Linked DNA regions of Oryctolagus cuniculus. The protein of the gene in region 4 interacts with the protein of the main gene of each other region in a pairwise test. Links are inferred from orthologs where the notes say so. Each region holds a gene or a part of one and is shown on either strand. Other genes may lie near its edges. The genes, in order: OLFM1, AGTPBP1, ARIH2, DISC1, CCDC88A, PPP5C and KCNQ5.

Region 1 (4,087 bases), on a different chromosome or scaffold from region 4:
GCGCCAATCTCCTCTTGCAGTTCGTTTAGCACTGACGTCAGATTCTGGACCTCCTCCTTAAACTGCAATACCAATTTGGCATCGGCCTTGTACTCTTCCAACACAGGGATCAAAGGCCTAAGTTCATCCATTTTCGCTTTAATCGCCTGCAAGGTTAAAATAAGCTGGGTTCAGTGCCTAGCATGCAAGAACTGGTAAGGCCTGCCTCGCCGGCTCCTCCCACGGGCGGGGCTGTGCGCCGCCGCGCCCCGCCCCGGCAGAAGGCGTAGGAATCAGTCCCAGGACACCGAGGGCTTTGGGAAAGGTCTTTATTGGCACAATGCAACATCCGGAAGTTACATGCGGTTACGTCACAGACAACACAGAGTTCTTTTTTTTCTTCCTTTTTCAAAAACCGCATCGACAAGGGCTCGGGCTACTCCTGGGATGCATCTACGGCCGCATGCAAGGGAGGCTCCTGGTTGAGTTCAAGCTTCCTTAGTGATATGGTGCTACGGATTGGAAAATAGAGTAAAAATGCAAGGTGCAAAAAGCTGTCTGGCTCTCTCATGTTACAGGGGAGTGGGCTGCGTCTTCTCTCACTGCAGCATGAAAAAACTCTTTAAAGTTAGCCCTGCAAGCAAGAAAACGAGAGAGCGTTGAGGAGCCAGCTCGCTAGCCTGGCCGCGCAGACGGCCTGAGACAAGCACTTTCACGGTCAGTTAAAAAAAAATCACACGCTACTGCTGGAGTCAGTCAAGCAAGGGCAGGAGCCTACCTCTGCTCCCCCACAGCCGCGGCGCCCCCGTCTGGCCCTCAGAGGGACCCCCGCATGGCCGGTGTGGCCTGGGGACGCCCCGGGAGCTTAGAGGGGGTCTCCGGGCCACAGGGCAGGGAGAGCCGGCCCCTCTGGGAGCCAGAGACACAAGCCCCTTCCCGTCAAGCCCGGGGGGACCCAGGCTGACCCGTGAGGAGCGGGCACGGGCGGGCCAGCAGCCGGCTGCCGCCACTCGGAGGCCTCGGGCTGGCCGGCATCTCACGGGTAACACAGACCGTATAACTTCATTAGTTTGCCGTTTCGTCTGTCTAATGTCTCGCTTTTAAAAGAAAATTAGTCCTCGCTGCATGCAGGGAGCAGATCAAAGAACAGCATTAGCATAAAAAGGACGGGGGGGCAAGCTCGGGAGCAGTCTGCAGCGGGGGCCAGGCTGTGCGACTCCGGGCGCGCGCCGCCGGCGCGTGGGCCGCGCGTCTCGGCAGCATGCAGCGGCATCTTAACCGAGGCCGCACGCACTTCTCCACGGAACCTTCTGGAAACCAGCAGCCAGCAGGGGTGCCGCCCCAGCTGCACGTCACGCGTGCAGGTTCCACAGCTTTAGTGCCCACAGTCACCGGGAGCCGTGCGCACTTCACCGCCTGCGAGGCGAGAGAGGCCCTGGGGCCCACGTCTCCCCCACCCCCGTCCGTCCACAGCGTGCCTCGTCACGGACGACCTGCCCTGAGTGATCTGTGCTCAGAGATGGCTCCGGCCAAGCGTGCTAACCCCTGCCTAGTGTGCTTTACCTGCAGGAGTGGGCGGGAGACGCGGCCGGGGAGCAGGGGCCGTGGGGCGCCGGCGCCCGGCTCGCCCACAGATGGCTCTCCTGCGTGCCAGGCAGGAGCGCTGTGGCAAGGCGCTGTGCGGGGCAAGAGCAATCCTGGCCGTGTCCCCCCGGGGCTCCCAGGTCACCACCGCTGCAGGGGACGGGACAGCACGAGGGGCCAAGCCTGGCTCTGGGGGGCCGTGGGGGGCGCACACACCTTGAACTGCCTGGCCAGGTGCTGCTTGTGGCTCTCCTCCACCTGCTTGAACTTGGACTCCAGCCCCTTCATCTGGCTCTCCATCTTCTCCACGTACTGCAGGTCTCTCTGCGTCCGCCTGTCCAGCACCTCTATGGACTGCGACATGTTCTGCACCTGTGCAGAGGGTGACAGGCGCGAGGCAAGAGCTGCGGCGGTGCCCGGCTGGCTCAGCCGCCGCCCGCCGCCCCCACGCACGCACACACGCGTGCACACACACATGCTCAGCCGCCCGCCCGCCCCCACGCACGCACACACGCGCACACACACATGCACACACACGGACGCACGCACATGCACACACACACACACGCTCAGCCGCCCCCGCCCGCCCCCACGCACGCACACACGCACGCGGCCAGCCACCAGGGGCTCCATGCATTATTTACGAGCTCATCGGCAGCATCACACACAGAGCAAATTGGTTCTGTCAACATCCTCTCTGCCATCTTGCCGAGCCTGATCTTGGGATCTGGGGGACGCGGGAGCCCAGGACCCTGGGGGCGGGTCCTCTCCAGGTGCCATTGCCTGGCCCCACCCTCGGCCCCGCCCCCAGGTATAAAGCCCCAGCCCTCCCTGGAAGGGCTAAGTGCAGGAGGAAGGAACCGGGAACGGCCCTCCCCACCTCCCGGCTCGCGTGCCATCCGTCACACGCGGCATCACGAGCGATCACGGCTCTGCAGGCTCGCACACGCCTGTGCCGGCACAGCCGCACCGAGCCCAGCTCAGACGGAGCGTCACCGCTCACCGGGGTTCCAGACAGCTCCGGGGGACGGGCAGGCCCCCGGCAGCCGCCGGCCTGCTCGCTTCCGGCTCGGGAGTGCAGCAGAGGACGACGGCCGTGGCACGGGGGTCCTCTCCCCAGAACCCGACCCCGCGGCCAGGCAGGAGGACACCTCCCCGGCAGCAAATCTCTTCTGGTTTTATTTATTTCTGCTGAATTTGAAAACCCTCTGCCGCGGGGGTCGGTGGGGCCGGGCTCGGCCTGGGCGGCCAGGCTCGGGGGGGGTGGCGTGGCCCCCATCCCCTGCAGTCCAGCAAACAAAATGCAGCCACGGCAGCCTGTGTGCCTGCAGGCAGTGTGCACAGATCCGGTTCAGAACCCAGTCTGGAAAGCACAACACGGGGCGACGGTGGCTCTGTGGCCCCCCCCCCCCCCCGCCGGGCCATTCCATCAACGGGAAACGGGCCTGGGCCTGCCTGCCGTCTGCCTGCCCCCATCTCACTCCGTCGTTCCGAGTGCCCCAGGCACTCCTTTCCATTGGTTTCCTTCACCCTCAAGGCCCAGCCTGAATGCCGCCTCCTCCAGGGAGGTTTCCTGGATGAGCCAGGCCAGACGGGGCCACGTACTACCGCGGAACAAAATCACTCTGCTGGCCCAAGCCTGAGCCGGAGCAAGCCACACGCCGGTGTCGCTACCCAAGCCCAGGGCCAGGCCGTGAGCCTGCAGGCTGGGAAGACGGCCCCTCTGCCCACCCCCTTCGGAGAGCAGCAGCCAGGGACCACACACAGCTCTTAGTTGCTGGAGGGGGAAAGTTGTAAAGATTTTAAATCTTGAATTTGTCAAGATCAAACTTCGACTTACAAGAGACAAACTCTGGCCAGCTGCCTCCAGCCCAGGGCTCCAACAGCCGCCCCAGCCTCCCGCCCCCAGGCGGCATCCTAGCCACAGCCCCCAAAGCTCCCGATGCCCCACCCCCACCCCGGCGCAGCAGGTGCAAGGGAGCAGGGCGGGGGTCAGCGGCAGGCAGCAGGCCCACCTGCCCTCCAGGAAGGCCACACCCCCTCACAGAAGGTTTCCCGCATCCCAAGCACACGCACTGATTGCCGGCTGTTTACCCAGTGCTGCCGGGTGACCGCGCTGACAGCCTGGGCGAGGGGCAGCAAACCTGCTCGCTGTCGCCCAGCCAGGCCGGCTGCCTCCTGCCCACAGCCCCGCCCGCTCCCGGTCCCTGCGGCTCCTGCGCAGGCTGGCACGGGGGTCTCAGAACGGGGTGGGGTGGGGGAGGGTGGTGGCTCCCAGGACTGTCCTCAGCCACCTGGCGGGACTCTGAAGGCTCGGCCAGGAAGTAGCTCGCTGGCGGCCTTGGCCGGTGCACAGGGTTCTGGGGCGTCTGCTCTGCCCACGGGGGTGGGTGCCCGGTGTGTGCCTCGCCTGGCCGCTGAGAGCCAGGAACAGAAGGGCACTGGGCCCAGACCAGCGGGAGAGGAGCTGAGGACAGCTCTGCACGCTGGAATCCGGCGTGCCTGCCGCTGCCGTGGAAGATGG
Region 2 (3,502 bases), on a different chromosome or scaffold from region 4:
TATAATTATAAATAATTAAATAAATAGTACTTTCCCTTGCTACAGTATCCTGATCTTTCCTAAATTAAGGTTCATGTACTTAGAGAACTGGTTCGACTTCCCAGCCCGGTTAATCTTTATTTCCTGAGATGGATAACAAGTAAGTGCCTTTCAGCTGCCCCATACTGTGTTTTTAAACACGGCTCCCAAGACAACAAAAAGAACTTACACTACAGATGCAATACCTTCAGTTGTACAAAGAAAAAAATCACTGGTTTGGAAAACTGTAAAACCTGAGAAGCACGTTTAGAATTTCTTTTCCATTCTAATTAGTTGAAAAATATTCTACTCTAGGAACAAGCAAGGAAGATGGGGGCCCAAACACTTGCATCTTGGCAAGGACCTGTTACTGGAGTATCTTCTGGGGTGTGTTTTGTCACAACAAAACCTGTTGCCCATCGCTTGACGACAAAGGCATTTCCTGCAGCAGCGTGGCTAGAATTCAGGAGGCTATAGCCACACAAAATACTTTCCATCCACGGCCGTCACCCTGGACTCTACCTTTCACATCAGCAGCCCCAAGACTTTCACATCAGAAGCAGCACTACTCAGGGGACGCTCACGAAACACACCATCAGGGAAAAGAGGTGTACGAATACATCTTTTATGATATGTACAAACACACCCATACATCATAAAAGACTTAAGAGTAGTAAATTGGGCTTTTTTTTTCTTTTCTAAATTTACCAATGTGTCCAGAGATTCTCACATAGTGCTATGGACCAAATCACCTGAGCTGGCCGAAAAGGATGACGAAATGAATGCAGCATTTAATAGAGTTTTTATTTGCTTAATTTGGTAAAGGTAGAATGTGATGGTTTCAAGGCAAACCCTTGGAATATTTCAGTCACAACCCATAACATGATTCTGAAGCACAGTCTTCGATATCTACCCGACCTTACACAGACACAGCTATAGAATTCCATGTACAATATATTCTGGTCACGAACGACTCAGGGATTTCAACAGCTCTAGAATTCAGATGTCATATTTTGACACACTGCAGGACATAACTATAACGAGATAAAAAATCCATGCAATGCTACTCGGGTTTCTTTTTAAAAGTAAATCTAGTTTTTGATCATTCAATGCTATATAAAGTGCATTGAATACCTAAAATAAAACAAGTGCCAATTTTATCACGAATTAATAACATATTTATTGTCCTGAAACCAAATAGGCCCAAGTTACTTTTTGTCCTTTTGAGTCAGTTCTCTATAAACTCATTTCTCTCAGCTTCCCCGTGTAGGGTATTTCGCTTCTTCTCTGCGGTTAGTCAAGAGATATCAGGGGGCTCAAGGGAGGTGCGTTCTGGATAGTTCTGAGTCAGAGAGCGCTTCTTCGTGAGCAGAAGGTTCATAGTCTCCCACATTTTCGGTCAGTTCGATATCTAACTCATCGTTACTTTCTGCGCTGTAATCAACTTCTTCAAGGAACCGAGGTTCATCTTCATCCAAAACGTAAGTGGTAGGGCTGTGGTCAAAACATACACAACACGCAAGACTTCATGAGAGGCTGCTGTTCTAACAGAAGGCTAGCTCACTAAACGGGATCAACTTGGATTCCCATAGAATACGAGCAGCTTGTATTAATTTTTAAAACTGTGTCCAAATGAACAAGCTGAGATATGTATAACAGTTGAAAGCTCCTTGTATGAACAATCAAGGGTGACATGCTTACTTTCAATTCTATTACAAGAGTGTCAATATACATCCTACTCAGATTTCTAAACAAAAAAAGTGGGGCTCTCTCATTAGGTTCTTTCTTGGAAGGATTTCAACCGTTTGCAGGCTATTAAGATTTATATGTAAAGTTCTGTAATAATTAATGTAAACCAGGCCGTATAGGAAACTGTAGGTATCTGGTTCAACTGATGCACTGACATCACTTGTGCCAAGACTATCGAGTGATCAGCCATCATAAACACAGCCTAAAGACCCACTCCCACGGCTGCCGCAGCTCGGGGAAAAAAGTGAAAAACAAGTGAACACTCCATCCTGAAACTAATTACTCTCCTCGGGGACGCAGAGCAATGTCTGCCCGAAAGCACTGAGCACTTCTCAATGCTCAGTAGGTAGGCTGGCAGGGAGTGAGACCGCCTCTCCACTAGGTCTCGTGACATACTTTCTTCTTGAAAAAGAAGTCACGGCATTCTGATTTCTCTCCATTTGTGAGATATCAGACACGTGTAAGCAGCACGCACACACGTGTACACTGTAGCAAAGAAACATCACAAACATTTGCAAGTTCCGAAGGCAGTGACCAAAACCACTGTGATTTCATACAGAGGTATGTTTGTTTATATCCTGTCTGTTTCCAAAAGGCATTTCCAAAAGTCAATGGATTTAAAAGCCATCAACTCAAATAATGCAAAGGAACAATAAATTGCTAAGATGATCAGAGAAGCAGATGTCATGAGGCACCTAAAATTAGGGCATTCCTGCAACTGACTGTTAAAATCCAGTTTGGATACCCACAAGGCAAGGATGGAGAATTAACGGATGGTATAGTTCTAATTTTTGAAAAGGAGAAAACAAAATCCATCTGGCAAGAGCACTTTTTTCCTAGAGTTACTTTAATCTTACTCATTAAAGAAAAGAGAAAAATGCATTGGAAAACCACCTTGAGCTAATATAATATAGCAAACTCCCTCTGCAGCACTCAGAGCTTGCCCATGACAGAGCAGTCCTGATAAATCAAGCTGAACACCATACCTAATGCAAGAACAATGTCACAAGTTCAATACTGTAAATCAAATATGCAGAGTAAATCGGCTAGGTCTTTAAAACACGAAGCTATCGAAAGAGAAGGTTATGTGCCCTTTAAAATGCCTGTTGCCATCTTTCTTTCTTTTGGACTACAATCACTCGTTTCCCCTCCTTGTTTCAAATTCTCAGGAGACATCCTAGGTGAGTCTTAGAATAGATGGAAATGGAGTTAAAGGAGGAGGCGAGAGAGAATTGAGAAAAGGCGAGTTGTCTATTGCCACAGACTTGGGTGTCGCTATTTTCTTCCTCGAGATGTTGTAACTAGAAGTGACCATGGAAACGCAAGGAGAAGGACCTGCTCCAAGGCCATGCCCTGTGTATGCACAGGGGCTGGACCCAGAGACAGGGTGCACGGGGATCGATGTATCCTGACACAGGCAAGGAGTGCACAGCCTCTGCGATGTGGCCGGCTGGGTGAGTGGGCTCGCGAGACGTGAATCTCAGCCTCCCAGGACCCCAGCAGAAAGCAGAAGGCCATACACGAAAGTGGTTGTGGGGCTGCAGTCATGCACTGGGGTCGGGGTCGGGGCCAGGACCTAGCTTTCCACACGAAAGTGAGTGACCAGAAAAGTCAAACCAATCTGAACTAAAGGAAAGGGTTTAAAGAAAAAGCCTTGTGTCAGAGGCTACGAGGAAGCAGGAGAGGAATGTGACATGGGAGGGACAAAAATATCCTAGATGGAACCAAACAAGCT
Region 3 (3,313 bases), on a different chromosome or scaffold from region 4:
TTACATTCTAAGTAAAATAGCTAGAGGGTGAAACACTCCAAGGCCAATTTATTTTTAAAAAGGGCTTTGTGTTATCCTATGGTTTGTTTGCCTTTTTTGTTGTATAATCATACAACCTCTGAAAATTACGTAAGTAATGATCTAATACTATTAATAGCCATTCAGAAAAAACTTTCCCTCCCTCCCAACAATCATCCAGGGGGAATTAAAAGTCCTGAAAAGAGGCCAATTCAACATGGCCTCTACCCTGGTAGAAACAAAAAGCAAAAAGATGAGAAGAAAACGTAAAATGACTAGGAGGTGTTGCCAGCGTCTCTCAGGAGTGGGGCCCTGGCTGCCGCCTGGGGTCGTGAGGGCAGAGCCTGCAGCATGCAGCATGGCCGTCAGGAGACCTGCAGCCACGTCTTCCTCACCCCAGCACGTCCACGTCCCAGCCTAGGTGTCATGGAAATCCTTCAGCAGGGTTCTCCTCCGCTGCTCTGCTATATGCATCTGGTTCTCCAAGTCCTGCACCAGGGAAGCAAGATGGCTGCTTGCATGGCCCAGGCTCCGGAGCAGAGTAACCAAAGCCATATGTACCATGCCAGGGGGTCCAAACAAGTCAAAACTCTGCCCTTCCCAACCCTCTTGGCAGCAGCTTCCAGTTCACAAAGCAGTACCTTGTGCCTCCTACCACCAGGCCAGTCCTCTCATCTGCCAGAGGACAGCAGGCACTTACCCCTCGGTCATAGCTGTCAGCACGCTCCACTTTCCACGAGAGGTTTTCGATCTCAGCCTCCAGCTGAGCCTGCTGGTATTCAAACTGTAAGGGCAGGGTGAGAGGATGAAAAGGAGGGGGCTGCAGCCAGGCAGAGCTAGTAGACAGAGGGACATGCAGCTACAGACAACCTTGACACTGTCCTCAGAAAGCACTGTTATTCCCTGAGCCCAGGGCCAGCAAGCAAAATCCAAACAAAAGGTTGCACAGTGGCAGGCATTTAACTAGCAGTTGACACTGGCTAAGATGCCTGCATCCCACATGGGCGTATCTGGGCTCAACACCCAGCTCTGGCTGCTGCTCCTGCCAATGGAGATAATGGGAGGCAGCAAGGAATTGGGCCCCTGCCTGCCATACATGTAGAAGATCTGGACTGGGTTCTCAGTTCTGGCTTTGGATCCAGCCAAGAACTGCTGCAGGCATTCGGGGAGTCAATCAGTGGATCGGAGCGGGTATGCACGTGCTCGCTTTCTCTGCCTCTCAAATAAGTTAAAGGGGGGGACGCTACTTGAAGAATATGGCCACATGGCACAGCCACACTAATTTCATTTTTTTCCCAGCTCTTCTACAAATCAAGCGTCTTGAAAATACTCTAATCATTTGACTTAGTACTTATAAATCTGAGGAGATAAAGCTTTGTGTATAAAGGTTTTCCTCAGTTCCTATTTACAATAGTGGAAACCAGAAATAATAAATACCCAAAATCATCATACAACCCTATAATGAAGCACTTACAGTCATTAAAAAATAATATTTGGGGTAAACATTGTGGCGCAGTGTGTTGTCACTGTGTGGGACGCTGACAACCCATATAAGAGTGCCTGAGAGAGTCCTGTCTGCTTCGGATCCAGCTTCCTGCTCATGTGCATCCTGGGAGGCAATGAGGTATGGCCCATGTGCTTGGTCCCCGTCACCCACGTGGGAGACCTGGATGGAGTTCTTGGCTCTTAGCTTTGGCCTGCCCAGCCTTCCCCTTCCCCTCTCCCTCCTTCCCATTATGGACATTTGAGGACTGAACTAGTGGATGGACGAGACCTCTCATCATTTTGCCCTTCAAATACATTCTATTAAAAAAAAAAAAAGTTTATTTATTTGAAAGGCAGAGTTAGAGGCAGAGAGAGAAGTCTCCCATCCACTGGTTCATTCCCCAAATGGCCACAATGACCAGGGCTGGCCAATCCAAAGCCAGGAGCTAGGAGCTTCTTCCGGGTCTCCCACATGAGTGCAGGGGTCCAAGGACTTGGACCATCCTCTGCTGCTTTCCCAGGTAATATGGTCAGGGAGCTACATTGAAAGTGGAGCAGCCAGGCCAGTGCTGCGGCTCAATAGGCTAATCCTCCACCTGCGGAGCCGGCACCCCGGGTTCTAGTCCCGGTCGGGGCACCAGATTCTGTCCTGGTTGCTCCTCTTCTTCCAGTCCAGTTCTCTGCTATGGCCCGGGAGTGCAGTGGAGGATGGCCCAAGTTTTTGGGCCCTGCACCCACAAGGGAGACCAGGAGAAACACCTGGCTCCTGGCTACGGATCAGCGTGGTACGCCAGCCACAGTGGCCATTGGAGGGTGATCCAACGGCAAAAGGAAGACCTTTCTCTCTGTCTGTCTCTCTCTCTCACTGTCCACTCTGCCTGTCCAAAAAAAAAAAAAAAAAAAAAAAAAAGGTGGAGTAGCCAGGACTCAAATGGACACCCATATGGAATGTCAGTACTACAGGTGGTGGCTTTACCTGCTATGCCACAGCAGTGGGCCCTACATAAATATTCTTTAAAACAAATGGTATTTACAAGTCCATCAAATAGTGACAGCTGTAACAGTAAACTGTCCTAACAATAAACAGTTATATATATATATATATATATATATATATATATATATATCCTTGTCTTACCTATACTTTTTTTTCCTTATATATACTTTTTAAAGACTAGAAAATGTTAATCAACAATGGTCATCTTTCTGGTGAGATCATGAATGAAAAGTTTTGAATATTTTCCAACAATTAACAAATGCAAACCACTTTATAAGCAGTGGGAAGAAAACTTTACCTAAGAAAATTGAACAATGGTATAAAAATATCGACTCTAACCTAGCGACATGCATGCCGATATCCTCCCAAAGCATAGGCAGGGCCTCCCAAGGAACCACAATCTTTTAGCTAATCCCCCTTTAAGCACGGTTGGTCATCTGGAGGCTTAGGTGCATGTGCCTGTCTATTGCCCAAACGACAGCACCTGAGATGCGCCTGGAGCTGCCCGATTCTGCACTTCAATAGCTGCATTCTGAGTTTGCCCTCCCAACGCTCAGGGCCCATCCTGAGCTGAAGGAAAGGGCGCCTCTGAAGCTACCAGGGCAGAGTGCAGGGACGGTTTTGCCTTACCAGCTTCTTCCTGGGTCCAGACTCCATGTAGTACGCATAGGGATAGGTGTATTGCAGAGTGTACCGACACTGCAGCAGGAGAGAAGAGAAGGGACCTGTGTCTGTGATTCTAACCTACCTCTACCTCAGGTGGCTCTGAAAACTCTTGCCCCACCATGCAGATTAACCTGGCTCTACAGGTCT
Region 4 (4,087 bases):
TAATATATTCTAAACATATAATTAAATGTCACATATGACATGGATGGGATATTGATAATAACTGTAAGTTATATTTGACATGTATAATGTGGCCTATATAAAGTAGTTCTATATTAGCCTGTATATTCTAAATCTAGCTATGATATTAGTATAAAAATAAAACTAAATATGTTAAACATTTTCCCTGCTTGTCCTTCTCTGTTTAAAATTTCTTCTATAAAAATTCTATTTAATTTTGTAATCATATTCAATAGCTATTAAAACTTTTCCAAGTTTGCTGGCGCCGTGGCTCACTAGACTAATCCTCTGCCTTGCAGCGCTGGCACACCGGGTTCTAGTCCCGGTCGGGGCAACGGATTCTGTCCCGGCTGCCCCTCTTCCAGGCCAGCTCTCTGCTGTGGCCCGGGAAGGCAGTGGAGGATGGCCCAAGTGCTTGGGCCCTGCACCCCATGGGAGACCAGGAGAAGCACCTGGCTCCTGCCTTCGGATCAGCGCGGTGCGCTGGCCGCGGCGGCCATTGGAGGGTCAACCAATGGCAAAAGGAAGACCTTTCTCTCTGTCTCTCTCTCTCACTGTCCACTCTGCCTGTCAAAAAAAAAAAAAAAAAAAAAAAACTTTTCCAAGTTTGTGTGGTTTGATGATAAGCCTGCCCAAAATGTGCTGCTTCTGTGTACAGCATGGTCCCAAAGCACCCACCAGAGCAGGCCTTCCTGTGAAGGCCACGCCGACAGGACACACCTCTTTTTGTTCGCCTCCTCTGCATAGAGGGGAGGGGGTATGATGAGCCTTCCACTCTTGGTCAGCTTGCAGAAGGGTCGTCCTCTCATCTTCAGAGTGGGGACTGGGAGGGACACTGGGAGCCACTGCCCAGGCAGCTCCTTCTAAGTCACCCATCTGCCCCTCATCTTCCACACACAGGCTGCCTTTGGCTTCCTGTAGCTGCAGACTCTGAATAAGCAGTCGACAAGCTTCCAAGTCAGCTTCCCACACTCTTCCAAGCAGGGGACACTTGCAGCTAAGGCAGAGGAGGAAACAAAAGCATAAAAATTAACCCAATGGTGACTCATCAATGGTGACCAAGTCAATAGCTTATTTACCTAGATAGAAGTCTGCTAGACATGTTATCCTTAATTTCATTTCATATTGTAACAAATTATTTCAGCCAGAAGATTCAGAGTGCCAGATCTGTATACCATCAAGTTCTCACACAATAAGTGTTGGTCCTCCATAGCCACTTGGTCTTTTTTTTTTTTTTTTTTTTTTTTTTTTTTGACAGGCAGAGTGGACAGTGAGAGACACAGACAGAGAGAAAGGTCTTCCTTTGCTGTTGGTTCACCCTCCAATGGCCGCCACGGCCGGCGTGCTGTGGCCAGCACACCGCGCTGATCGGATGGCAGGAACCAGGTGCTTCTCCTGGTCTCCCATGGGGTGCAGGGCCCAAGCACTTGGGCCATCCTCCACTGCACTCCCTGGCCACAGCAGACAGCAGGCCTGGAAGAGGGGCAACCAGGACAGAATCTGGCGCCCCGACCGGGACTAGAACCCGGTGTGCCAGGGCTGCAAGGCAGAGGATTAGCCTAGTGAGGCGCGGCGCCGGCCCACTTGGTCTTCTACAAGACCATCTAGACCCAGTGGCCAAATACAACATAGCCTCTGTCCATATCGATGTTCCAACCTATGCACTTTCTTTGGGTCCTCAGATCTGCCTAACTCTCCCCAGCTCAGTACAAATGCATGTGCTATTTTATTTTCCTGGACCATCTCTCTCCCATCAAACAACAGCAGTCCATATATGCCCATACCTACATCCGGCTGAATTGCTGTATCTTCAGATTTCAGCTTAAATAAACTTTTCTTGCAGGAACCTTCCCTCCCTTCCAATTAGAGACATTTTATGATTTCTCTCTTTAACATCTTGTACTTTTCCTTCAGACTACTTATCATAATCCTAATTATTTATATGATTTTTGGTTTGTTCTCTGAGGTCAGGGCTTATTTCTATCTTGTTTTCCACTCCATTGTTAGAACCTATTAACATGGAGCATAAAATCCAATGCTAGCGTGCCCAGCATACAATGCATATAAAGAGAGCCAAGCAGGGGTGGTATTAAATGCACAACAGATATTCAGCCTTGGTGCCAAAAGAGAACAGAAAGAAATGATTCTGGCTGGTAGGAAGGACATTTCCTTGTAGGGAGTCTGTTACAAGTGCAGTCCAATTAAATCTGTAGGACACATGGACTTGGGGTAGACAAATTTTTTCATTTTTCATGAAAACTCAAAAATCTTGCATTTAAAAAAAGTATATCTTTCATTCATCCATTTGATTTCATGATAGATACTTTTTTTTCAAAGAAACCTTTTATTTAATCAGTACAAATTTTATAAGTACAATCTTAGCAATATAGTAATTCTTCCCACCATACCTGCCCTCCCACCCCCAATCTCACCCCACCTCTTACTCCCTCTCCCATTCCCAGTCCCATTCTCCATTTTTAAAAAAGTTCTTCAACAGTCAAGACAAGGGCTGTTCAAGTCATTGCTTCTCAAAGTGTCAATTTCATTCTACAGATTTGTTTTTAGGTGCTCTATTAGTTATCACAGATCAGGGAGATCATATGGTATTTGTCCCTTTGGGACTGGCTTATTTCACTAAGTATGATGTTTCCCAGATTCATCCATTTTGTTGCAAATGACCAGATTTCATTTTTTTTACCTCTATGTAGTATTCCATAAAGTACATATCCCATAATTTCTTTATCCAGTCTTCCCTTGACGGGCATTTAGGTGAATTCCATGTCTTAGCTATGTAAATTGAGCTGCATAAATATGGTGGTGCAGATAATTCTTTTATTTGCTTATTTTATTTTTCTTGGGTAAATACCCAGTAGTAGGATGGCTGGGTCCTATGGTAGGTCTATATTCAGATTTCTGAGGTATCTCCAAACTGACTTCCATAGTGGTTTTACCAGTTTACATCCCCACCAACAGTGGATTAGTGTACCTTTCTCCCCACATCCTCACCAGCATTTGTTGATTGTTGATAGTATCCTATAGATTCCCAACAGTGTTTTTTATTTTTCTAATTTCTTTTTCTTGTGTTTGGTCTTATTGTATAATTTCCTGTGCTTTGTCGTCTAAGTTGGATATTCTTTCTTCTGTTTCACTGATTCTGTTGTTAAGGCTTCCACTGTGTTTTTTTGTTTTTTATTTGTTCTATTGAATTTTTCATTTCCAAGATTTCATTTGGTTTCTCTCTCTCTCTCTCTTTTTTTTTTTACAGGCAGAGTGGACAGTGAGAGACACAGACAGAGAGAAAGGTCTTCCTTTGCTGTTGGTTCACCCTCCAATGGCCGCCGCAGCCGGGGCGCTGCAGCCAGCGCACCGTGCTGATCCAAAGCCAGGAGCCAGGTGCTTATCCTGGTCTCCCATGGGGTGCAGGGCCCAAGCACTTGGGCCATCTTCCACTGCACTCCCTGGCCACAGCAGAGAGCTGGCCTGGAAGAGGGGCAACCGGGACAGAATCCGGCACCCCGACCGGGACTAGAACCCGGTGCGCCGCAAGGTGGAGGATTAGCCTAGTGAGCCACGGCGCCGGCCTCATTTGGTTTCTCTTTAAGATCTCAATTTCATGGGAGAAATTTTCTTTCATGTCATGTATGGAATTCATTAGTTGTGCATTTGCTTCTGATTACTTCTAAGTAATCCTATGATCAATGTTTTGGATTCCATTTGTGGCATTTTTTCAATCTCATCATCTTCACAGTCTAGAACTGAAGTGCATTCTTTTGGGGGTGTCATGTTGTTTTCTTTATTCTTGTTTCTTGAACTGGTGCATTTGTTATCCCACATTTGTGGAGATACTCGTTGGTTTCTTCTTTGCTTTGTTCACTGTGGAGACTTTACCTCTGGATTATATCTAGATGGATCAGTGGAGTGTCTGCTTTCAGGAATACCTAGAAGCATGTGGTGGGTGTGGCCAGGGAGCTCTGCTCAGTGCTCCAGGGTGAAGGGTGTCTGAGGTGACACACTCAGATTTGGTGTGGTAAATCTCCTTTTTAATTTTTAATTTTTATTTTTCATCAGA
Region 5 (4,635 bases), on a different chromosome or scaffold from region 4:
TTCTCATGTAACTGAAGTAGGAGAGCTTTCATTTGAAGTTTCCTCCCAAAGATTCTTAATTTTAGGGGGAATAATGATGAAGACAACATCAACAACACTTATAAAATATTTCTATAAGCTGCCATTTCATTGAACTGCTTTACATATAAAGAAAGTGAAGCACAGAGCAGCTTAGTAACTTGCCTAGTCTCACAGAGCTAGTGAGCATTGGAACCATGCAGGAGAACTCCAAGCCCAGGCTCTCAACTACCTAATTAACAAACTGTGCTGTTTCTTAATTCAGTGCTATGACAAAAACATTCTCACTGCTAATTTAAAATAGTATGCAAGTATTCAAAGTAGATGTTTATGTAAGTGCAAACATAGCATACATTGTCAAACTATAACGCTATGCTTTCTCAAAAAATGTGTTTTACATGCCCATTTTAATCTCAAGAAAAAGATCTTCATTTCTCTTTGAAATGAGGAGTAACATTTGATTTTGCTAGGGAACTGTTAAAATTATTTTGATGGTTCCAGCCGTGCATAGCATAGAGATTTATAGTAAATATGTAATCTGTTTATTTGTCGCCCAAGTTGGATGACTTCCAAATGTTTCCTCTTTATAGCTCTTGATTTGTTTGGATTTTTTTCAATGGCCAAATCGTCACACACACACACACACACAAAAATGTCTAAATCACGTTTGCTCTTGTCAGGGAATAGCAACATGCTGAAAGATAGATTTGGTTGTTTAAAAATCCTACCACATTTCACTTGCATTCCATGCTTTAGAGGGCTGGATGTTAAAAAAAAAAAAAAAAAAGGAAAAGGAGAAGAAAAAAAGAACTAACTTGTGGCTCGCGTCCCTTTGCCCTTCGCTGAAGTCAGTTTTCCCATTCCATTCTGTTGGGGAGCAAGCATGCTGAAGAGATCAAACCAAACTGTCCGAAAAAGGCTGTCTGCATCCCTCATGTTTAAAAGAGAAGAATTTCGTTCCCCTTCCTTCACACATCAAAGAAGGCACTCGGGGAGGAAATAAACCATAATTAGGCACGAGTGAGCGAGCAGACAGACCCTTTCCTTTGCCTTCGCCATCCCCGCCCCCCGCCCCTGGCAACCATCCTGGGCGCTAGCAAGGCGCCGGCCACCGCAGCAGCTGCAGCGAGCGCGGCCCCGCGCCCGCGCCCGTCTCAGAATCTGGGCGGCGGCGGGGCCAACCCGGGAACGCGCTCGCCCGGGAGCGCGCTCATGCAGCGGTTTTCTTCTCCCACAATCCAGAGGCAGCGGCGCGGGAGGGGCGGGGAGTCGGCGGAAGGATATCGGCGCGGAGGGAGCGGCGCGTCCCCTTGACGGCGGCCTCGCTGCGCTGGTTGGGCAGCGAGTAGTGGGGTGTGACGCGGCACTGCGGTTCTGAGGCCGTTACTCCGGCTCCTCCAGAGAGGGCGGAGGAGGAGGTTGGAGCTCGGCGGTGATTTTGTGCCAGGGCTTCCCAGAGGCGCTCCGAAGAGGCTGGCGGGGCTCAGGCAGCCGGAGGTTTAGAGACGCACATTCAAGCCCCCATCCCCCGGGAGGGGAAGGGGGCTGGAGGCGAGGCGTGAGGGCGGCGGAGGAATGGTGTCTGCTCGGGGGGAAGGGGCGAGCCCTGCCTGTCGGTGGTGAGGGGCTGCAGACCGGGGAGGCTTCGCGGGTCGAAGCGGCTCCATGCCCACCGGTGGGTGGAACGTGTAGAGGGGAAACGCGGAGGTCGAGCCTGGCGGCCCCTTGGATCCCCTAAGGTGGTGTCTAACGTGGTGTTTGATAAAGCCCACGTTGGGATTAATTCATTGGGGGCAGTTCCGCTCGCTTGGCTGCTCTAGGAGCCGGGCAACCTTGACGGGCTTTTTGTCTTGCTGCTGCAGCCCTCTTTCCCCTTCCTCCTCCTCCAGATGCCTTTTCTCTGCCCCTCCTTGCCCGGTACCGACATTTCCAGCGCAGGCTGCTGCTCGTGGGGGCTGTCGAAGCCGCTTCTCGGGATTTCGGCTCGTTTCCCTCTGGGGTGTCTTTGGAGGAGGGAGCGTTTCCCCCCCTCCTCGATGGGGTTTTCCTCGCTTGCCAAAATGGACTTTCATTGATTTCTACTTCAACGTTTCGTGACCAATTCCCTAGGCGTATTTTTGTGGTAGTTCCTTTTTTTTTTTTTTTTTTTTTTTTTTTTTTTTTTTTTTTTTTTTTAAGTAGAGGATCTGTAAAATGGAGAACGAAATTTTTACTCCCCTTTTGGAGCAGTTCATGACCAGCCCCTTGGTCACTTGGGTAAGTGGAGTGCCCTTTATTGTAGATTTTGCTGGGTTATTTGTGGCTGCAGAGATGGAGGTGGGCGTTCATGCCCTGACGATCCTTCTGTTCTAGGTTAAAACGTTCGGACCTCTGGCTGCGGGCAGTGGGACCAACCTGGATGAATATGTGGCTTTGGTGGATGGGGTATTCCTGAACCAGGTCATGCTCCAAATGTAAGTCTTTTCTGGGTAACTTGTTTTCTTTGAGAAATAACGTACTGTGAACTTGAGACTTGATGTTTTCGCCCCTAATGTGGTTCTTGGGTTAGAAAAATGCAGGTGGTTCAAAAAATTGGATGTTGAAAGGAGTGAAAATCTTCCGTGCCCAACCCATTTATCGCAAGCCAGCAATTATGCCTGTTAAAATTGTGAAACTTTGCATTTTTCGTTTTGCCAACCTTGTGTTGTCACTTATTGTCTTCAGTGCTGAAAACCAAACCACACGGTGTCCTCTTTGATAATCTGGTAAGAAGAGAGAGAGGGCAAGAATGCAAATCTAGTGTCCTAATAGGGGGGAAAGGACTTTAATGTGAAGCTATGTGCATTTGATGCATATCTAAAAATAGTTATTTTTATACTCAGTTTTTGAAGCTAGTGAAGTAATAACATCTTAGAATTTCATACACAGTTCTGAGTGGTGAAGAGGACTGCTGCTGCAGCATGTAACTTAAATGTCTATAATAATTCAGGTCTGATTAGATGATTTATTGTGTGGACTTTGTGTCATATTTGAAAGATCATTTTAAGGTGTTCTTAGTTTTGAAATGTACATCATTGAAGGCTTGATGAGGACTAGACAACCAGTGATTTAGTAGTCACTTCTTTGTCTTTTATATTTATAATATTAGATCTATATTAAATGTTTTTGTTTGTTTCTGCAATGGAAATTGGATATTGAAAGTATATTGGTAGCTGGATTAGGGCAGTAAAAACAGCTGCATTTTTATTATTAGAGGTACTATAGCATACATGCATTCTAGGTCCTTCAGTGTAGGTTATCACACTGTGAATATCATTACAGTTGTGCTGTAAGTAATTAGCCTTATTCTTGAATAGAATCTGATTATAGGAGTAGTTTGGAACCTGTGATTGAAAGATGTTCTCATCTTTTATATATGTGGGAAATTAGTGCCTTATAAATCCATAGTTGCTAACAAGTAGAGAACAAGTCTATTCTGCTTTGAGAACTTTACATATAAATTAGCTATTCTGTATTTTACTGGAAGTTATTTTTCAAGTTAGTTTTCTGTTTAAAAGAGGTTAGATGTTAATTTCACAAATAATTGTTCCAGTTAGAGTTTGTATGCTCAGAGATTTATATGTTGATCCCACAGGGAGACATACTACTACCATACACTTTCCAAAAATGTTATATTTGTTTAGGTGCCTGAAGAAATGTATATGTTATCAAAATTTGTATTTTTTTCCTTAAGAAAGGAAGAGTGTAGACATTAATTATTTATAGGGTTAATAAATGTATTTTTGGCAGCTATCCCATGAAATTATTTTTTATTTTTGAAATATCCCACTATTTCCTAAGCGAAATGGTAGAAAAATTAAACTAACTTCTATTTTAGGAAACACACATGACAGGAAGAGTAGCCATTATGGTAGAGAGTCACCTTTTCCCCTATGTCTGTCTGTTTCAGAAAATTTTGAATTTGTGTGCATAACCCCTCCCCTTAAAAAGTATCTTTACAAAAATAGTAAAATTAGTTTTCTACTTTAGTGGATTTTTAAAATAATACTTTTTCCAAAAAAAGAGAAAGATTTGGGGCTTTTTAAGTCTTAAGTAGCTAGCCAAGGTGCTAAAAACAAACATGTTGGCTTATTTCCATTGTGTATAGGTATGTTTTGAAAATGATGGTGTTCCAAAATAGTGGTTGCCAGGGAGTTGTTTTTTTGGGAGGACTAGCTCCTTTCCAAACCTCAAATCTGCCACTGTGTTTTCAGTTCCACCTCTCAGTTTCTTTAAAAGTGTTTTCAGCGTCCTAATTCTGTTTGAATGACCCGTATAAATTAAAGAAAAAGAAAATTAAGAAAAAGAGAAGTATGCTTTTGCTTTTTTTCAAGAAAAATCTGCTAAAATAACATCGCAAATTTATCTTAATGAATTATTTAACTTTCAGGACAACAAAATATACATTGTTTTAAAAGTTATATTTTGCTAATTTTGAAATTATTAGGTTTTTTAAAAGATTTTATTTGAAAGGCAGAGTTAGAGAGAGAGAGAGGTCTTCCATCCACTGGTTCACTCCCCAATTGGCTGCAACGGTCGGAGCTGGGCCGAACTGAAGCTGGAAGCCAGGAGCTTCTTCCCAATCTCACACGTAGGTGC
Region 6 (4,087 bases), on a different chromosome or scaffold from region 4:
GCCACAGAAGGGGCTGGGCTGGGCTGGGCCAAAGCCAGGGGCCAGGAACCCAGTCCAGGTCTGCCCCGCGGGGGGCAGGAACCCCCTTGGCCGTGGCTGCTGCCTGCCAGGGTGCGCACCAGCAGGAAGCGGAGTCGGGGTCAGACCAGGCCTGCGGGCTGGAACGCAGATGCCCCGTCCAGCAGGCTGAGCACCGGCCCCTGGTGCTTCTGCCAGGATCCAGGAGGCTCACTGCCCGCCCCCCTTCCAGATTCTGGTGCAGGTCAAGGAAGTCCTCTCCAAGCTGAGCACGCTCGTGGAGACCACGCTGAGAGAGGTGCGCTGGGGGCGGGGCCTCTCGGACACCCCCACCCGACCCGGTCTCGTCTCTGCATTCTCGTCCCCTGACTGTCTCCCCCGACTGTCTCGCATGCGGCTTCTTGGTCTGCCCTGACCTTTGCCCCTCCCCTCACCTCTGCCCCCTCCCCACGTCTCTCTCTGGGCCCCTCCCTCTCCGGTGGCCTCTTTTCTTCCAGACAGAGAAGATTACGGTATGTGGGGACACCCATGGCCAGTTCTACGACCTCCTCAACATATTTGAGCTCAACGGTTTACCCTCAGAGACCAACCCCTACGTATCCTTGTGTGCAGAGCCGCCTCGCCCACCCCCAGCCCTGACCCCCAGCCCAGGTCGTCTCGGGGAGGGGAGCCCCTGGAGAGCAGGCTCCGCCAGGGAGGGAGCGGCCTGAGCCGTGAGCAGTGCCCAGGTGGGGGGCAGTGGCAGGCTGGCCTGGCACTCCAGGCTCCTGGCTCGGTCAGCTGTGCTGTGTGAGCCGAGCCGGTGGCCGGCCTGGTGTCTCTGAGCTGAGGTGCCGTGTGACCCGAGCCAATGGCCGGCCCGGTGTCTCTGGGCCCGATGTGCTGTGTGACCCGAGCCAGTGGCTGGCCCGGTGTCTCTGAGCTGAGGTGCCGTGTGACCCGAGCCAGTGGCCGGCTCGGTGTCTCTGGGCCCGATGTGCTGTGTGACCCGAGCCAATGGCCGGCCCGGTGTCTCTGGGCCCGCTGTGCTGTGTGACCCAAGCCAGTGGCCAGCACCTGGCAGTGCCCACGCCACATTCCATCCTGGCTTTGCCGCTCCCCAGTGGTGGGACCGTGGCTGGTTATGTTGCCTCCTGGAAACCACCCTGGTTTCCTCTGGTGAGTGCCAGGGCCGCCTTGGCGCCCTGAAGGGTTTGCAGAGAGGATTCCGGGCTGACGAGCGGTCGCTTTGTTGGCCACCAGGTTTGTGAGCTGCTGGTGGGGGCCCTGGGCCTGTCCTGAGGCAGCTGCAGCAGACTGCACACCGGGCAGGGAAGGGCCTGGCACGGCCTCCTGAGCCCCACTGAGTCCCTGCTCCTGGGGGAGAGCTCACGGGAGCTTGGGGGCCAGGCGAGGGGAGAGGACAGCCCCCCACCCGTCTGCCCCAGCCCACGGCTGTTTCCTTAGCGGGGTGGATATTCAATGGCGACTTCGTGGACCGCGGCTCCTTCTCCGTAGAAGTGATCCTCACCCTTTTCGGCTTCAAGCTCCTGTACCCAGACCACTTTCACCTACTTCGAGGTGAGCCACAGGGCAGCAGGCTCAGGTCCCTGGGGGCTGGGGGGCACTCACTCTCCCTGGCCTGATCTGTAAAGCAAAGAAAGCCATGGCAGCTGCACGTACAAGGGTCCTGGGGCAGTTTCTGTCATGTCTGTGTTCCACCTGGGTCCGTGTGAGGGCGCAGGTCCGGGCAGGGCCGCTGGAGGAGGGGACGGGTGGAGCTCTGGGCTTTGATGGGGGCTGATCAGGGCGGAGTCTGGGGCTGGCTCTCAGTGGTTCCCACCTCCAGGAGGCTGCTGGACACCGGGAAGAGCAGGGCAGGTCTGGTTCTCACGTGAATGACAGCCTGGGGCAGGGGCTGCCCTGTGAGAGGTCGGGCCAGTGGGGAGGGGCGCAGAGAAGCAGCAGAGCAGGAGGAGGGAGGGAGTGGGCTCCTCTGGTCAAGACCCTCCCTCACCCCCGGCCCCTTGGGACTGCCAGCCTGGAGGGTACACAGTGGGAGGACTCGGCCACTGCCCAGGACGGGGGTGGTTTCGTGCCTCGGCCACTGCCCCGAGGGTGGAGCTGTCAGTAGGGCAGGGCCTGGGGCCTGGGTGAGATCTCCCAGTCCAGTTGCTGCCTTCAGGAATGGTCTGAGCGCAGGGTCCACCCCTCTGGCTGCTGCGACGGGCCGCTGCGGGCGCTGGGACTGACTGGCTCGGGCTGCCTGCCACATGGGCAGTCCAGCCTGATGCCCAGGCCTGCACCTGCGGGTGCCGGGCGGGGGGAGACGGGGGACCTGCGGGCTGAGGGCTCTCCCTCTCCCGCCGACGGCCAGGCAACCACGAGACGGACAACATGAACCAGATCTACGGCTTCGAGGGCGAGGTGAAGGCCAAGTACACGGCCCAGATGTACGAGCTGTTCAGCGAGGTGTTTGAGTGGCTGCCGCTGGCCCAGTGCATCAACGGCAAAGTGCTGGTGAGGACGCGGGGATGGGCACCCGGGCAGGGGCGGGGCCGGCCCTCCCCCCCTCCCCGGGCACACGGGCAGACGGGCGGGGCCGGCCCTCTCCTCACCTGGCCACCCCCTGCCCCCCCAGATCATGCACGGGGGCCTGTTCAGTGAGGACGGCGTCACTCTGGACGACATCCGGAAGATCGAGCGGAATCGGCAGCCCCCAGACTCAGGTGAGGAGGTGGGGCCGGCGCCCCAGCAGGGCGCAGCAGGTGAGCCTCGGGGCCCCTGCTGGCCGGGGGGCTGGAGCGTCCACGGGCAGGGCGAGGCTGTGGGGAGCCCTGGGAGCCCATCTGCTGGCCCTTGGAGGGAGGCTGCAGCTCCGTGCACCTGTGCGAGTGTCACACAGGGCTGGGGGTGCAGCATTGGAGCCGACTCCCCGAGAGCAGCAGCTGCCGCCCGCGCACAGTCGGGCGAGCCCGGGCAGCTTGGGGGTGGGAGGAGCCCACGGTGTGGCTGGCGTGAGCTCGACTGGACCAGATCCTGCAGGGAAAAGTAGGTGAATGGGGTGCGGGGAGGTCGGCAGGGAGGCTGGGGCTGGGAGGGCAGGCCCGGCAGAGGAGGGCCCCGTCCACCCGCCTCGGGCCGCGCTGGGGGCTGGGCACGGCCGGCCAGGAAGCCCCTGACGCCTCCCTCCACCCCCCAGGTCCCATGTGCGACCTGCTCTGGTCGGACCCACAGCCACAGGTGAGTCTCGGGCCCTCGGGGGCGGCGGGGGTGGGGCGGCAGTCTCTGAGCCCCGTCTCCCGCAGAACGGGCGCTCGGTCAGCAAGCGAGGCGTGAGCTGCCAGTTCGGGCCTGACGTCACCAAGGCCTTCCTGGAGGAGAACCACCTGGACTACATCATCCGCAGCCACGAGGTCAAGGCCGAGGGCTACGAGGTGGCGCACGGTGGCCGCTGCGTCACCGTCTTCTCCGCCCCCAACTACTGGTGCGTTCCCGCCGGCCGCCCTGCCGGCCACAGGTTTTGTCTGGGTTCCAGTTACTTAAGGCCGAGCAGCAGAGGGGATGCCGCGTGCCCTCCCTTGCCCTTCCCCGTCTGGGCTGTGGTCTCCGCCGACACCCCCAGTGTCTCCCAGCGATGGCACGTCCCCCGCCAGAGGCGTCTGCGCCATTGCCAGAGCCCAGTCACCGCCGTTCCCCGCGTCGCTGGTCAGAGCAGCACCGAGCGAGGGCCCCGTTTGCGGTCTCGTCCCCGAGTCCCCGTCCCATTCCCCACTGCCCCAGCTGGGCCGCTGGGCCTGCCGGGCCGCCTGTGCTCCTGGCGTCTCCTGGGGGCAGAGCCAGCGGCGCCATCAGACCTCAAGTCTGGTCTCCGCTCCTCTGCCCTGGGAGCCCCGCCCGCCTGCCCTCCTGTCCCTGTGTCCTGGCACTGCCCTTCCCAGCCCTGGCCCTCCAGCCTCCTGCCTGTCTCCCTCTGCCCCTGCCCAGCCCCTGGCCACACTGACCACTGCCCCGCCCCTGCAGCGACCAGATGGGGAACAAAGCCTCCTACATCCACCTGCGGGGCTCCGACCTGCGGCCCCAGTTCCAC
Region 7 (4,596 bases), on a different chromosome or scaffold from region 4:
TGCACTTGTTTTTGGCAAGAACCTTAATGTGCTACAAAAACTGTTATTAATGTAAGATTTGGGGATTCCCACGCTGGCAGGGAATTAGTTAGTTACAACTCTCTAGAAATTGTTTTCTTATAATTTGCTGTATTATTAATGGTCTGGTTAGGCTTATAGCTCAAAGCAACTTTGCTTTACTAATTTAATGTGTGAAGTCCACCTACACTACAACTCATTTAAAATCACAAGCAGCAATTGCCAAAAATGGCCTCTTTCTCCATGGTCTGCTGCAATGGCACACAATGCTCCCTGAAGACGCTACCAGCACTTCCTTCTTTGTGCTGCTATGGGTCTGCTACCCACATCTGTTGCTCAGATACTATGGTTTCAGACTCTTGAAGTGTGTAATGCACAACTTCACATTACTTACAACATATTGACAAGTCCATAAGCTATCTCCTATCTACCACCAAAGACACTGCTAGACCAATAAAGCCAGGGAAACAGAAGTGTATCCAAACTTGAGCCATTTGAGAAAACATTTATTAATATTTAAAAATCCTGTAAGGCCACGAAAATCTGTTAAACACCAAAAACACTCAAAAGAAAATGTTGCATTGCAGGAGGTTCTCATTGCTGTTCAAGAACAACACAGGAAATACAAAGTATGTCCACCAATCAAAGTTGTCTCTAACCTTTCCTGAATACAAAATGCATAAATTACCCAAAAAAAAAAAAAAAGAAAGCCTATAAATGGCATCATATTGAAAATTCCAAGTCATGACTATTCTGGGCATACTCTGGTAGAAACAGTCACTACCCATGCAGTATATATTTCCTGCCAGATTGAGCATTCACTTTGCTAAATGTTTTAGGATATTCTGACAGGTCAAAATAATTCACTAGGCTCATTAAGTAATAGGATTAATTACAGATCAACCCAACGAGATGAACATGGGAAACAACAGTAGTGTTTCTCTGTGTCTATCACGCATGACGGTAATCACATCCAAATCAATGAGGCTCTTGCAATCAGTGAATAACAGAAAGTTGTGTCTTTTGAAGCAATAATGACACAACAGGATATCGTCTTTGTGTACACTGTGAAGCAGAGAGTTGACTGGAATATTCTACCTCACACCACACAATCTGGGACTGTAAAATTTTCCAGACACCAGAACCCCACAGATTGTAGACTTCACCAATTTCCTGACTCCTACGTGGTCAAATTCCAGGTTCACCTATTTACAAAACCAGCCCCTTCTTTTATGTTGTCTTAAAAAAAGAAATGACTCCGCGTTGACGCCAACCCTTTATCCGGGCTGAGAGATATGTGTGGATGACCCGCCTCATTTCTAAAAGAAATCTAGTTCGTGTGTTCAAAACATATTTCAAAACATATTTTACTACGAAACAAGGAACGCATCAGTGACTGCCTGAACTTTCTCCATGGGTCTCCTAAGACCTAAGTCTTTACATTTCACTTTAACATTAAGAAGCCAGACAGGGTGGGGGTTTGGGGGGAGGGAACTAAAAAGAGAAAAAGAAAAAAGGAGAAAGGGAAAGAAAAAAAAATGAAAAGAGTTGGGGGCGTAGCAGCATAAAAACAGCCTTAAAATGTCCAGATCAACCTCACTCTAACGGGAGATTAAATGAATGGACATTGTGGGAAAAACAGTAGTAAACTTTAAAGCCACTGAAAGGTTTTAAATGCCTAAGGGGAAAATAAACATTTGCTTCCAATCATTTTCTCATTAAGCATTCTCTGCTAGATGGCGAGGGCTGACTTAACACACACACGCACACTTTGACTCCACGCCACAAACGCCGACTTAACCCACTGCCTGATCCCTGTCCGAGACAGCCCATTTGCGCTTCAGCGGGTGCACCTCGGCCCGAGCTCCTGCGCCCCACGGGCTGCGGCCGCAGCGAGGGAGCACGGCTTCGCCCAGCCCGCTCGGCTCTTGGAGACCTTGGCCACTTTCTCTGTGGCAGGAAGGGCTCCACGCACTGACAGATTTTCCGTTAGTGGTGGCTGGGGTGGTGGCGAGGCATGCTTCCGGACGCACTTAAAACCCAGCCGCTGTCTCCACCAAGTAGCAGCTTCCCCTGCTCCGCCCCCAGCACCGAGGACCCAGCCCTCGGTGTCTCCTCTCTCCACCCTGTCCCAACCTGCCAGCACCTCCCCTGTCTACTCTCGAGCCTCAAAGGGCGCAAATCCTCCCTTTGCATTTCCCAGCTCCCGGGCGCCCCGCTCGGTTGAAGTTTACGTATCTCAGGACCTAATTGCTCCCCATTATCCGCGTAGCTTAAGTCTGCCGGGTTCTCCCGCCCCAGGTGCCTGAAGCTACTACCAGGCAATTCATTGGGTGTCCTCAGGGAGACGGGTGCAAAGCTGCGGCTGTGGGACAGGTGGGGATGGGGAGGTGCATGGCTCCAGGAGAAAGCCCACTAACACGTGCAATGAAATAAAACCCCCACGTGTGCGCGCGTGAGTGTGTGTGTGTGTACGCGCGCGCTTATGCGCGCGACGGGCCAAGGCGCAGATGCCAAGCACGTTCCAGGGCACCCAGCTCAAGGGGCTTCAGGAGCGGGCGTGGCGAGGGGCGCGCGGGGGGCGCGGGTACTCACACGAACGCGTGGTAGACGAACGCCCAGCCGCGGGGTCTCTCCAGCACGTTGTACAAATAGTTCTGCACCCGCCGGTACTTGACGTTGCGCCGGCAGCTCTGGCTACTCGTGTAGGAGAGCGGCTTCCCCAGCAGGCTCATCCGGGCCCCCTGCTTGCCCCGGCGGCTCTCCCTCAGGCCGCCGCTGCCGCCGCCGAGCGCGGCCGCGCGGGTGCCCAGCAGCAGCAGGCCGTCGCCCCTGGCGGCCGCCGAGTTCAGCAGCACCCTGCCGCGGCCCGACTCCACATCCTTCATGCCGCTGCCCAGGCGCCCCCCGCCCGCCGCCGCCGCCGCCGCCGCGCCGCTCTTCACCCAGAGCCCGGCGGCGCCGCCCTCCTCTCCTCCCGCGTGGTGGCGGGGCATGGCATCACCACGGGCACCGCGAGGGGGGCGCCAGCGCCTGCGTCGGGGGCAGCGGCCTCATGTGCGGCGGCAGCCGACGGGGCGCCCGCCGGCCAGCGACCTTCCGCCGGGGAGGGGGCGGGAAGCCGGCAGCCAGCACAGCCCCCGGGCTTCGGGGCGGGGGCTCAGGGGCGTGCGGAGGAGGCCGACGAGTCTCAATTGCTTGCAGCTTGTAGCTTCGGAGTTCGGAGTCCGGACCTGTTGGGGGCGTCGCCGGGAGAGGGTTTCTCTCGCGCCCTCGTATTCCCGCGGCTACCACTGCCTCCTTGCCCAAGTGCCCCCAGGGCTGGAGCGGGGGAGTGCGGGGCGCTCTGAGGCGGCGCGCTCCCACGCGCGCACGCCCAGCCCCAGGCTCTCCGTTTCTCCGCTCTTTCCACTCTCCACGCCCAGCCTGTGTCTGCTCCCCTCTCCGCGGTGCGAGTGCGGGTTGCTTCTCCCGGGGGCTTTGGAGCTAGCTGTCCGGAAGGTTAAGTCGGCCAGGTGCCCCGAGGAGAAACGGGAGACGCAGGTCGCTGCGCTCTCCAGCCGCTACGCCGCGCCAGGTCCTGCCATCCTCCCGCAAAGGGTGCGAGCGGGCACTGCCCAGCCCTGCCCTGCCCTCCAGGTAGCAGCTCGGCCGGCCGGAAGGGGCGCGAGGGGCGACGCTCTGGGCGCAGCCAGCCAGTCCTCGGCAGCTCAGTGGGCAGGGCCGAGGGACGCGTCTGCTGAGCCCGCGAGGCAGGCACTGGGCATCTTCCCGCGGCTCAGTCCAGCCTGCGGGCTGTGACTTTCCATGCCAGCCTCAGAACGCAAGCCCGCGGCTAACTGGACATCCTTCGCGGCACGGGGGTGGGGTGTGGGGAGGGCGTCAAACTCCGAAGTGGCTCCTTTGCGGTGAGCGAGCTGCCCCCGGGGCTCCGCCTGACAGCCGAGCCTTGGAGACCAAACCCAGTTCCCTCCGTAAAGAAATTTCCATTTAAGTCCGAGAAAGTCATAAAACTGCTAAGTCGCGGTGGCGGTGGCGGCGGCGGCCCCAGTGCCTGGGAGAGGAATCCTGGAGGGTGAGGAGCCCCAGGACAAGGCTTCTCCGGTTCCCACCCCGCCCCTGCGCGCTGCTCTAACTTACTGGGTGAGAAACGTGCTGCGAGGAACCTCCGGCTGGGGTTCCCGCCGCCTCAGGCAGCCAGGCGCCCCAGAGCCTGCGCCTTTGGTCGGGAGGGAAGCCACGGGGCCACTGGCCTTCCGTGTGTGGGATAACGCCTAAGCGGTTAAACATCACACACCGCTTGGGGGAACTTCCTCCAGCAGAGTGGCTTTGCTCCCAAATGAGAGAGAAAGCAATCTCCACTTAGACTGAACTAAGCTTGCAAGGTGTATTATTCCGCGTGCCTTTCTCCTTCCCTAATCCTAAAGTAATACTAAGGCAAAAGTCTTATTTCGGCTGTCTCCACCCCTCTGAGATAAACACTCTACCAATTCCCGCTTCTACCCACACACACACCCGCCGCAGCTGCTTTCTGGGTCCCGCAATAGCTGAATTGAAATACTGTACTTTTACTTTTCA

What was found.
Region 1: the proteins of DISC1 (region 4) and OLFM1 interact in binary tests that used the Homo sapiens proteins (3 or more experiments, as listed by UniProt). The link is inferred for Oryctolagus cuniculus from reciprocal best matches to the Homo sapiens genes DISC1 and OLFM1.
Region 2: the proteins of DISC1 (region 4) and AGTPBP1 interact in a two-hybrid assay, tested with the Homo sapiens proteins (2 studies listed by BioGRID and IntAct). The link is inferred for Oryctolagus cuniculus from reciprocal best matches to the Homo sapiens genes DISC1 and AGTPBP1.
Region 3: the proteins of DISC1 (region 4) and ARIH2 interact in a two-hybrid assay, tested with the Homo sapiens proteins (2 studies listed by BioGRID and IntAct). The link is inferred for Oryctolagus cuniculus from reciprocal best matches to the Homo sapiens genes DISC1 and ARIH2.
Region 5: the proteins of DISC1 (region 4) and CCDC88A interact in a two-hybrid assay, tested with the Homo sapiens proteins (2 studies listed by BioGRID and IntAct). The link is inferred for Oryctolagus cuniculus from reciprocal best matches to the Homo sapiens genes DISC1 and CCDC88A.
Region 6: the proteins of DISC1 (region 4) and PPP5C interact in a two-hybrid assay, tested with the Homo sapiens proteins (2 studies listed by BioGRID and IntAct). The link is inferred for Oryctolagus cuniculus from reciprocal best matches to the Homo sapiens genes DISC1 and PPP5C.
Region 7: the proteins of DISC1 (region 4) and KCNQ5 interact in a two-hybrid assay, tested with the Homo sapiens proteins (2 studies listed by BioGRID and IntAct). The link is inferred for Oryctolagus cuniculus from reciprocal best matches to the Homo sapiens genes DISC1 and KCNQ5.

The regions. Positions count from the first base shown.
Region 1 is NC_091432.1:236,271,277-236,275,363, reverse strand, and holds part of OLFM1 (noelin), read right to left. Parts: intron 1,936-4,087; coding exon 1,780-1,935; intron 147-1,779; coding exon 1-146. UniProt on the Homo sapiens protein: Contributes to the regulation of axonal growth in the embryonic and adult central nervous system by inhibiting interactions between RTN4R and LINGO1. Inhibits RTN4R-mediated axon growth cone collapse.
Region 2 is NC_091432.1:136,355,169-136,358,670, forward strand, and holds part of AGTPBP1 (cytosolic carboxypeptidase 1), read right to left. Parts: intron 1,513-3,502; coding exon 1,335-1,512; 3' UTR 1-1,334. UniProt on the Homo sapiens protein: Metallocarboxypeptidase that mediates protein deglutamylation of tubulin and non-tubulin target proteins.
Region 3 is NC_091441.1:100,168,594-100,171,906, forward strand, and holds part of ARIH2 (E3 ubiquitin-protein ligase ARIH2), read right to left. Parts: intron 3,226-3,313; coding exon of another isoform or gene 3,200-3,225; coding exon 3,131-3,199; intron 803-3,130; coding exon 719-802; intron 508-718; coding exon 436-507; 3' UTR 1-435.
Region 4 is NC_091444.1:51,498,875-51,502,961, reverse strand, and holds part of DISC1 (disrupted in schizophrenia 1 protein), read right to left. Parts: intron 1,016-4,087; coding exon 739-1,015; intron 1-738. UniProt on the Homo sapiens protein: Involved in the regulation of multiple aspects of embryonic and adult neurogenesis. Required for neural progenitor proliferation in the ventrical/subventrical zone during embryonic brain development and in the adult dentate gyrus of the hippocampus.
Region 5 is NC_091433.1:147,169,011-147,173,645, forward strand, and holds the start of CCDC88A (girdin), read left to right. Parts: upstream 1-1,336; 5' UTR 1,337-2,211; coding exon 2,212-2,274; intron 2,275-2,370; coding exon 2,371-2,471; intron 2,472-4,635. UniProt on the Homo sapiens protein: Bifunctional modulator of guanine nucleotide-binding proteins (G proteins). Acts as a non-receptor guanine nucleotide exchange factor which binds to and activates guanine nucleotide-binding protein G(i) alpha subunits.
Region 6 is NC_091449.1:10,796,095-10,800,181, reverse strand, and holds part of PPP5C (serine/threonine-protein phosphatase 5), read left to right. Parts: intron 1-250; coding exon 251-316; intron 317-515; coding exon 516-614; intron 615-1,472; coding exon 1,473-1,578; intron 1,579-2,374; coding exon 2,375-2,517; intron 2,518-2,638; coding exon 2,639-2,726; intron 2,727-3,199; coding exon 3,200-3,240; intron 3,241-3,305; coding exon 3,306-3,484; intron 3,485-4,020; coding exon 4,021-4,087. UniProt on the Homo sapiens protein: Serine/threonine-protein phosphatase that dephosphorylates a myriad of proteins involved in different signaling pathways including the kinases CSNK1E, ASK1/MAP3K5, PRKDC and RAF1, the nuclear receptors NR3C1, PPARG, ESR1 and ESR2, SMAD proteins and TAU/MAPT.
Region 7 is NC_091436.1:99,970,932-99,975,527, forward strand, and holds the start of KCNQ5 (potassium voltage-gated channel subfamily KQT member 5), read right to left. Parts: upstream 3,142-4,596; 5' UTR 3,015-3,141; coding exon 2,614-3,014; intron 1-2,613. UniProt on the Homo sapiens protein: Pore-forming subunit of the voltage-gated potassium (Kv) channel broadly expressed in brain and involved in the regulation of neuronal excitability.